2 linked regions of the Rhinolophus ferrumequinum genome follow. The protein of the gene in region 1 binds, or shares a complex with, the protein of each later gene. Links are inferred from orthologs where the notes say so. Each region holds a gene or a part of one and is shown on either strand. Other genes may lie near its edges. The genes, in order: cytochrome b-245 heavy chain and RAC2.

Region 1 (3,918 bases):
TGGCAGTTCAATGAAACTGGAATTTCCTGAAGATCATTTCATAACATGTCACTAGGAGCGGGGCTCTCCATGCACAAAAGTGGTAGGAATCAGATGATTTACAGAATATGGAAAGTCCCACTTGTCCCACCTGTGTTACCCCTGGATGGATCTCTTCAACCTAGTCTTCCATTCCAGAGCTATTATTAGATGCCTCCTCTAAGCTAAACGTTTCTCCAGTGGTTTTTGGGAAGAGAGGGATGTTGCTGTGACCCTCTGCCACACTTTTGTTTGTCCCACACTGGAAAGCCTAAAGACTCCTCCCCAAGGGGTTGTAATGGAGGGAGTGAGGCTGATGGTGCTGTTCAGGTTGGTCAGAATATTTATTGAAAATGTTAAAAGGAATATGAACGTGAATTTTTGATTAAAAAATGTGAGCTAGTCAATATTGCATGACATGGAACTTATACTTACCCCAAGAAGTTTTCGAGTGTAAAAGAATTTCGGTGGATCATCATAAACCTTGTAGTACCAGACAAAGAGGAAGACGTTCAACCCCAGCCATACCAGCTGCACAAAGAGAAACAGTTGCATGAAGTTTTCACATTTAAACAGGTACATTTCACACAATGTTGGTGTCAGACCAGGGTCAGGAGTTTCCCAACTCCAGCCTTTGATACGGGTGCTTACAAAACTGGTTATAACCATTTTAGAGCCAGCTCTTTCCCAGGCAGCATTGTTATATTTCCTTGTTATTAACCTTTCCACCCCATGTTGTTCCCCATTATTGTTTTACCAGTTGGTCAGTATGCTGAGTTATTATCAGTCTAATTTCCCTCCTTTCTTTCTCCTCCTCTTTTCTTTCTAACCTTAGATAGAGAGACGATAGTAGGTGACTCTTTCTAAAAAGACAAGGGAATGGAACACGTTGCTATGTTGTCCCTTGCTCCAGTAGGACACTGTGTTCTACTCTCACAGGTGCCGATAAACTTCCTCCACCACACACACAGCATCCCACCCAGCTAGTGGGGGTCTCATCAGCTAAACAGTCAAGCCTTTAATTGTATTTGATAACTTTTGCTTAACTTTTGAAGGAGGGGATATTGAGCATGAATGAGGGGGTGAAAGTCATAGGATTTTTTTTAATTGCTTGTTTCATCTGAAGCACTGACTGCATCAATCGATGATACTGCCCAGTCCTCTACGTTCAGCTCCATAGTGATCTTTTTTCTTAACTATGTGTTGAAGCACTAAATGTCCATAGACACTTGAGAACAGTCTCTCTTTAAAAAGAAGGCACTAAAACAACTTGTCTGTTTCCTAATCTTGTCTTTTTTACTCTTGCTTTTCAAGTGGTGCCTTCATTTTGAATTGAATATATGAGTATGTAATTAGAAGGTCATTTCCTGGGGAAAATTGTGGTAGGATCTAAAAGTATAATTTGAACTTGTTTTCTACAGGAGTTATCTGTTCTTCAAATGGTGATAAGAAATCAAGTTAATAGTTCTGACTCCTCAGAAGAATTCTATATTGCATTTAAATGTTGCTTTGGCATAATTTTTTTACATGACAAAATATTTGTTGCTTTAATTATGTTTGTGCCACTAATTTCTCTGTATCTCGAAAACTCAAAGACTGAATATTTACTTCATGATTAATTCTTTCAAAAGTTCCTTTTATAAGAGTTCTGTTTAACCTCTGTATAATGCTTTCATTGGATATTTGAAAAGGATAGTTATAAATCACATTTCTATCTTCCCAATTATCCATGATTGCTTTGCTGAGACCACCATCATAAAATAATAGTTGATATTTGTTATGTTAAAAACTAAATAAACTAATGTGTTTATTTGAAAATTAGCCATATCTTTACTTACAAAAATTATTTCTCAAGATATATTATATTGATTTATATATATAATCACATATAATATATATACTGTATATGAGTCTAGATATCTAATTTCAATTCCCTTCCCTTGATTTTTTTATAAACTTTACAAATAACTCAAATTACCTCAGAGAAAAGAAGATACTTAAAAAAAAAAAACCACAGTTGAGAAGTTCAATTATTTTTGGTGTAATTACTGAAATAAAGGCCAATTTCCCGCACATGAACCAGTCTTGTACTTATTCCTTGGAAAATGGCATAAAATTTTGATTGCCCATTTTTAAAGTGGTATAAACACACAAAAAGTAGAAATTTGTCTCAGAGCAAATATTAATAAACAACTCAGACTCAGGAATCATTATCATGAAATGTCTTCTACTCCCTCTGTGAAATGCTGGCTAATTTAGTACTCCTAAAAACTCAAAAAATAAACTAGGTGAAGTGAGCCCCCAGTTACATTCTTTCCAATACTAACTTTGAAAGAATGGACTCAGTCTGCTTACAAATGCATGCATGTTCACACAGTAAATCAGTTTCAACACAATTTGTCAAATAAACAAAACAAACAAACAAAAAAGTTTTTTTCTATTTTAGTTCCCAAAAGAACCCAGACAAGTCAGAGGATTCATAATGTATCTCTCATTGGTACTTACAATGACAAAGATGGAGAGTCCCTCATTCACAGCCCAGTTCCCCATGGTGGCAGAGGTACAGTGTCTTGTGTCTGCCTTTCTTCTCTGCTATGCTTCTTCCTCCCATGAGGAAATGAAAATAGCGCCTTGGGGCAATCTGTTTCCTTTTCTACTATCAGGAAATTTCTAATCATTGGTCAACTGAAAAGCTTATATTCATAAAAAATTTCAATCTTTAAACCACAAACTACAGAGAAAGGGTCTGTAATGATCCAATCACAACCGAACATAGTGAAAAATGAATGAAACTAATTTTTACAACTGAGTGACAAGTAACAGTGTAATTCATGGGATGTATTTTACACAGTGAATTAAAGTTTTCTTGAAGTTGTGGTTATCCTTTCTTTTTAAATGTGTTCTCAGTCTTTTTTATTAGCATATTTTATTACATTAATATAAAGTGAATTAACTTATCAACTAGAAATTTTTTAAAAGTCACCCAACTAGACAAGACTTTATGCTGGGTGAAAAACATTAAGTAGGTGTGATATTTTTTGATAGGCTAGAGCAGCTTTTTCAGCCTTGTTGAGAAAAATAATAACAATGGTGATGGTTAATATTTATAGAATGTCTATGTTGTGCTAATTTTCTAAGCTACGTATGTATGTATGTACATACACACGTATACATATATATGCACACACAAATATATGTGCATATGAGTTGATAAATATATGCGTGTGTGTACACACAATGACACACACATATACAAATTCAGTATATGTAATTCATTTGATTCTAACAATTCAACCTGTATAACATAGGTTCTATTATTATGACTACATTTACAGATGAGGAAACTGAGACCCAGAGCAGTTAAGGTACTTGGCCAAGGTCACGCAGTTAGGAAATAGTGGAGCTGGGATTTGAAACCCAAGCAGTTTGGCTATACTTTTAACCATGATACCAGAAACAAAAAAGCCTGAGTGTGCCCACCCCATCCAAAATCACTCCAAAGGCTCCATATGTATAGGAAATAAAAATATAACAATATACTAAAATGTTGGGATGACTATAGCATTCCCAGGCAGACATGGCATTCTCTAGGCTAGGAACAAAGGTCAGAAACAGGGTCAGAACAAAGGTAGGTCAGGTGTGGTAGATGCCAAAAGCCAGATTTAGCATTTTTTTCCCTGACTACTAGTCAGTCGTCAGGACATGAAAGGGACAGGAGAGCAGGATGGCAACCCCACTATGAGATCAAAGTTGACTAATTGCACAAGGGTTATTCCCTAGAGAGGTAAAAGAAGAAATTGGAGGAACAGAAGTGAATGAGAGAAGAAAAAAGAGGAGAGGCATGAATTCTTTTGGTTGTTGTGTATAAACAACTTGTGACAGCCTCCAGAATGATGACGA
Region 2 (3,918 bases), on another chromosome or scaffold:
CCCTCACCCTGACATCTCATCTTGGCCTGCCTCCTCAGCCAGACCATCAGGCAGCTCTGCCAGGCAGACCGGCGGGGGCATCTCCTCGTTGCCCGATCCCCACGTGCCCACACACAGCCTGGCACACAGGAAGTGCCTGAAAAGGGGGTGGGCTTGATGATGCATGTCTCCCCATCCTCCGAGCACCCCACCTGCCCACGGTACTCACACAGTGGGGATGTACTCTCCCGGGAAGGCGTTGGTGGTGTAGCTGATGAGCAGGCAGGTCTTGCCCACGGCTCTGAAAGACAAGACATTCCGAAGGACAGCTGTCACAGGCCCTGGCCGAGATGCGGGGAGGTTTCAGAGCACGTGCCCCATTCTCTAACCCAGCCCTCAGGGAAGACCCAGGCCCACCCCTTTGGCCTCAGTTTCCCCATCTGAAGATCCCCAGGTCAGCGTTTTCAAACCTGAGGGCCATAGAGTCATTTGGAGTGCTTGTTAAAGGGCAGGCTTAAGGTTCTACCCCAGAGATGCTGATCCATGGGTGTGGGGCGAACTGGAAATCCATTTTGAAAGAACTTTCCCAGGTGCCACTGATGTGGGACAGAGGGTAAAGGGCAGTCGGTACCCAGGAGACCTACTGGGTTGGCCAATGCTGCAGGGCCCCTGGTGCCTGAGCGGGGCTCTGCCACCATAGGCCTAGGCTTCAGACACCAGATCCACCTGCCAGTGACACGATTTGGAGCAAATCAGGTAACTTCCCTTTGCCTCAATTTCCCCATCTAGAAGATAGGTATAAGGTGAGTCCATCCCCAGAGAGGTGTACTGAGAAGTAAATTAGATGAAGTCCATAAAAGAACTGGGCACAGCATAGCCGCCAGCCGATGTCAGGGAAAGCCTGTCCCTCCTCTACCATCCTGCCTCACCAGAGAGCATCTCAGTTAAGAGCTTGGAGCTCTGGAGTCCGAGAGACCAGGGTTCAAAGCCCATAAGGTCTTGGGTAAATTACTTAACTGCTTCGAGCTTCAGTTTTCCCACCTGTAAAATGGTCCTAGTATTAATTGGTAGGAGGATAAAATAGAGAGGATGACTAAGCCCATTGCCTGACACATATTAAGTGTTAAATAAATTGTGATCACCTGCTGTTCGTGCTGTCTTCCCCTCAGCCTGCTGGGCTGGGACGGGGCCCAGGTGGAGGCCAAAGGGGCAGCCGTGGCCCTCCCCGCTTGCTCCACTGTTTCGTCATTTCCCGTTCTGAGGAGTTGGCCTGCCTCTCATCCCCACCCTGCCCTCCCCAGGGCCTGCCACCAAGGTAACTTTGAATGACTAGAACGTTGTTCTTGGCTTCCGCCCTCCCCAACTCAGATCAGATACAAAGCAGAAGTGGGCAGGCAGGCAGATAACAGCCAGCCATGCATCAGAATCAGCTGAGAGCGGCCTGATCAGCCGGCCCACCCCCACCGACCCATGAGAGCCAAAGTAAGCAGGGGCCACAGGGACCCAGGCCAGGAAAGATCTGAGTCTCTTGAGGCCTCAGGCTACCCATCTATAGAACAGGAAAGGTGGACAAGAGGCCTGCCCAGCTAGAACATGCTGGGATGTCCTGGGTTGTGCCTATGGAAAATCCCAGGACAGACCCGTGGGCTGGACCCTGAGGTATTGTTCCTGGGAGGCACGAGAGATTGGCATTTAGACCAGTTATCTCACAGATGAGGAAACTGAGGCCTCCAGGGTGACAGGGTAACCTGAGGTCACTAAATCTGACAGCTGAGAAGGTGTCTCAGCCCAGCCGGTCCCATGTTGACCCCCACAGCCACCCTCATCTCTCCGTCCCTCCTCCTTCCCTCTCTCTCTCTCCTCTTCTCTACTTCTGCTCCTCGCTCACACCCCCACACATCCTCCCCAACCAGGCAGCTGTGAGGGGGAGGGGAGAGGACGCGGACATTTATTGAGCTCACACTATGTGCAGGACAGCCACTCAAAACGCCTGAAGTGACCCCACATCAACCCTGAGGACGTGCGCCTTTTCCCAGATGGCCAAGCTGAGGTTCAGAGATGTGCTGTGACTTGCCCAAGGCCACACAGCAGAATAAGCCAGTGACTAGAGTCCAGGTCAGCCTGGGGACGAAGGGCAGATTTTTGGCTCCCTACCCCCCACCTGCATCCACAGAGTTGAAGACTGAGGTCCTATGGGAGACCTGCCCCAGCTCTCAGAGTGCCGGTGAGGGACCCCAGGCATCGCCACCCACCGTCCTGTACCCTCCACCCAGGAAGTTTCCAGGGTGAGGTGGGCAGAGAGAGTGAAGCTGTCCTCAGCCCACCCGGGGGCTCCCTCTGCTTCCTGGGAGAAGGGGCGGTTCCTCCTGGCTGCCTCCCAGGGACTCCTGCGGGGCAGGGGGCTTCCCCAGGGACGCCAGGGCTCCTGGTAGGGGGCTGTGAGCAAGTTCAGCCAGGTACCTACCCATCTCCCACCACCACACACTTGATGGCCTGCATCGTGTCTGGGGCCTGGGGAGCGGCGGCGGTGACAGCTCAGGGTGTGGAGCGTTTCTGCGGGTACCAGGGGTGTGGAGAGCCTGGTGAGGGACCCAGAGCCCAGCAGCAGGGGACAGGAGGCAGGAGGAAGCGGAAGCGGAACTTGCCTAAACTGCTGCCCTCACAGCCGTTTGCAGAAGGCGGAGCATGCGGTCTGGCAGACCAGCAGGGGGGTGGGGGGGGGGCCTCAGGTACTAGGCTGGGTCCTGGCAGCCCCAGTGAGCATCCCTGCTATGGGGCACCAGCTGGTGACCTAGGGACCCTCTCAGCTGTGGACTCGCTTCCATGGGCAGGGCCAGAGTTGTTCTCCAAGAACTTGAGGTTTCCAAGAATTCAGTTCACCTCAATTCTAAGCAATAAGCATTTAGTAAGCATCTACTGTGTGCCAGCCACAGTAGCAGGTACTGGGGAGTCCAGGATGCAAGAGGAATAGCTTGTCCCTGGGGAAGATACGACCTCATCACAGTTGTCCATAAAACAAGACAGAAAGTGATGGAGTCACAGGGAATCTGCAGGGAGGAGACCTAGAGTTACGTAGAGGGAGAGCTGGGGCCTGTACGGTGGCACTCAAGCCGGCACTTAAATGTGTCAGAGCGGGCGCACTCCAGGTGAGCGGACTGCGCGAGCACGATATAGACATTCCTCCAAACGGGGTAGAGTGGGAACCCCTGAGGGTGGAAGGATGACAGATATGGGAGGAGGGAGATGAGGAAGGAAGGAAGACGAGGCTCAGCTGATGGAGAAGGGGAAATAGAAGGGAAGTGACGGGCAGTGCCCCACGCCAGCCAGGCCCTGGGCTGGAGGGACAGTCCTGTGGGACCAGGCACTCTGGAACTCGGAACCATGGCCCATATTGAAGATGCAGAAACAGAGGGTCTGAGAAGTCAGGTGACTCCAAACTCTCCTGGCGCCCCAGCTGCTGTCTGGGGGAACAATGGCTGAGTCCTGCAGCTCTTGGATGGAGTGCTCCCCCTAAGCCATGGAAGACTCAGATCTGAGTAGTACTGGGACTCCCCAATGGACTCCAAGTTCACTTAGTCCTTACTATAATATTTATTGCCACAGCTCCCCACACAAAGCACCTTCCCGCTCCAGGCACAAGATAGGCAGAGCCACTGGTCATCCAGCCTGGACTCACTCAGGACAAACCAGGAAACTGGGGGAGAGTGTGGAGCTGACGGAGGCGGGGGTTCTGCTGGGCGACAGCTTCCCTCCTACTCCCTGTGAGGACAGAGCCTAGGATTCCCCCAGGCACCCAGAGGCTGAACCCTTCCAGAACTGTCCACACAAGCTACAGGGTTGGCACACATGGCTTTTGCAGAAAGGGAAATGCAGCCGCTCCCACACTTGGTCAGTCAGTTACCGTGTTTCCCCCAAAATAACACCTAGCCAGACAATCAG

What was found.
Region 2: cytochrome b-245 heavy chain (region 1) and RAC2 share a complex: the UniProt entries of both Homo sapiens proteins name them as parts of the phagocyte NADPH oxidase complex. The link is inferred for Rhinolophus ferrumequinum from reciprocal best matches to the Homo sapiens genes CYBB and RAC2.

The regions. Positions count from the first base shown.
Region 1 is NC_046284.1:95,747,003-95,750,920, forward strand, and holds the start of cytochrome b-245 heavy chain, read right to left. Parts: upstream 2,670-3,918; 5' UTR 2,569-2,669; coding exon 2,524-2,568; intron 550-2,523; coding exon 454-549; intron 1-453. UniProt on the Homo sapiens protein: Catalytic subunit of the phagocyte NADPH oxidase complex that mediates the transfer of electrons from cytosolic NADPH to O2 to produce the superoxide anion (O2(-)).
Region 2 is NC_046293.1:9,575,124-9,579,041, reverse strand, and holds the start of RAC2 (ras-related C3 botulinum toxin substrate 2), read right to left. Parts: upstream 2,615-3,918; 5' UTR 2,479-2,614; coding exon 2,444-2,478; intron 281-2,443; coding exon 209-280; intron 1-208. UniProt on the Homo sapiens protein: Plasma membrane-associated small GTPase which cycles between an active GTP-bound and inactive GDP-bound state.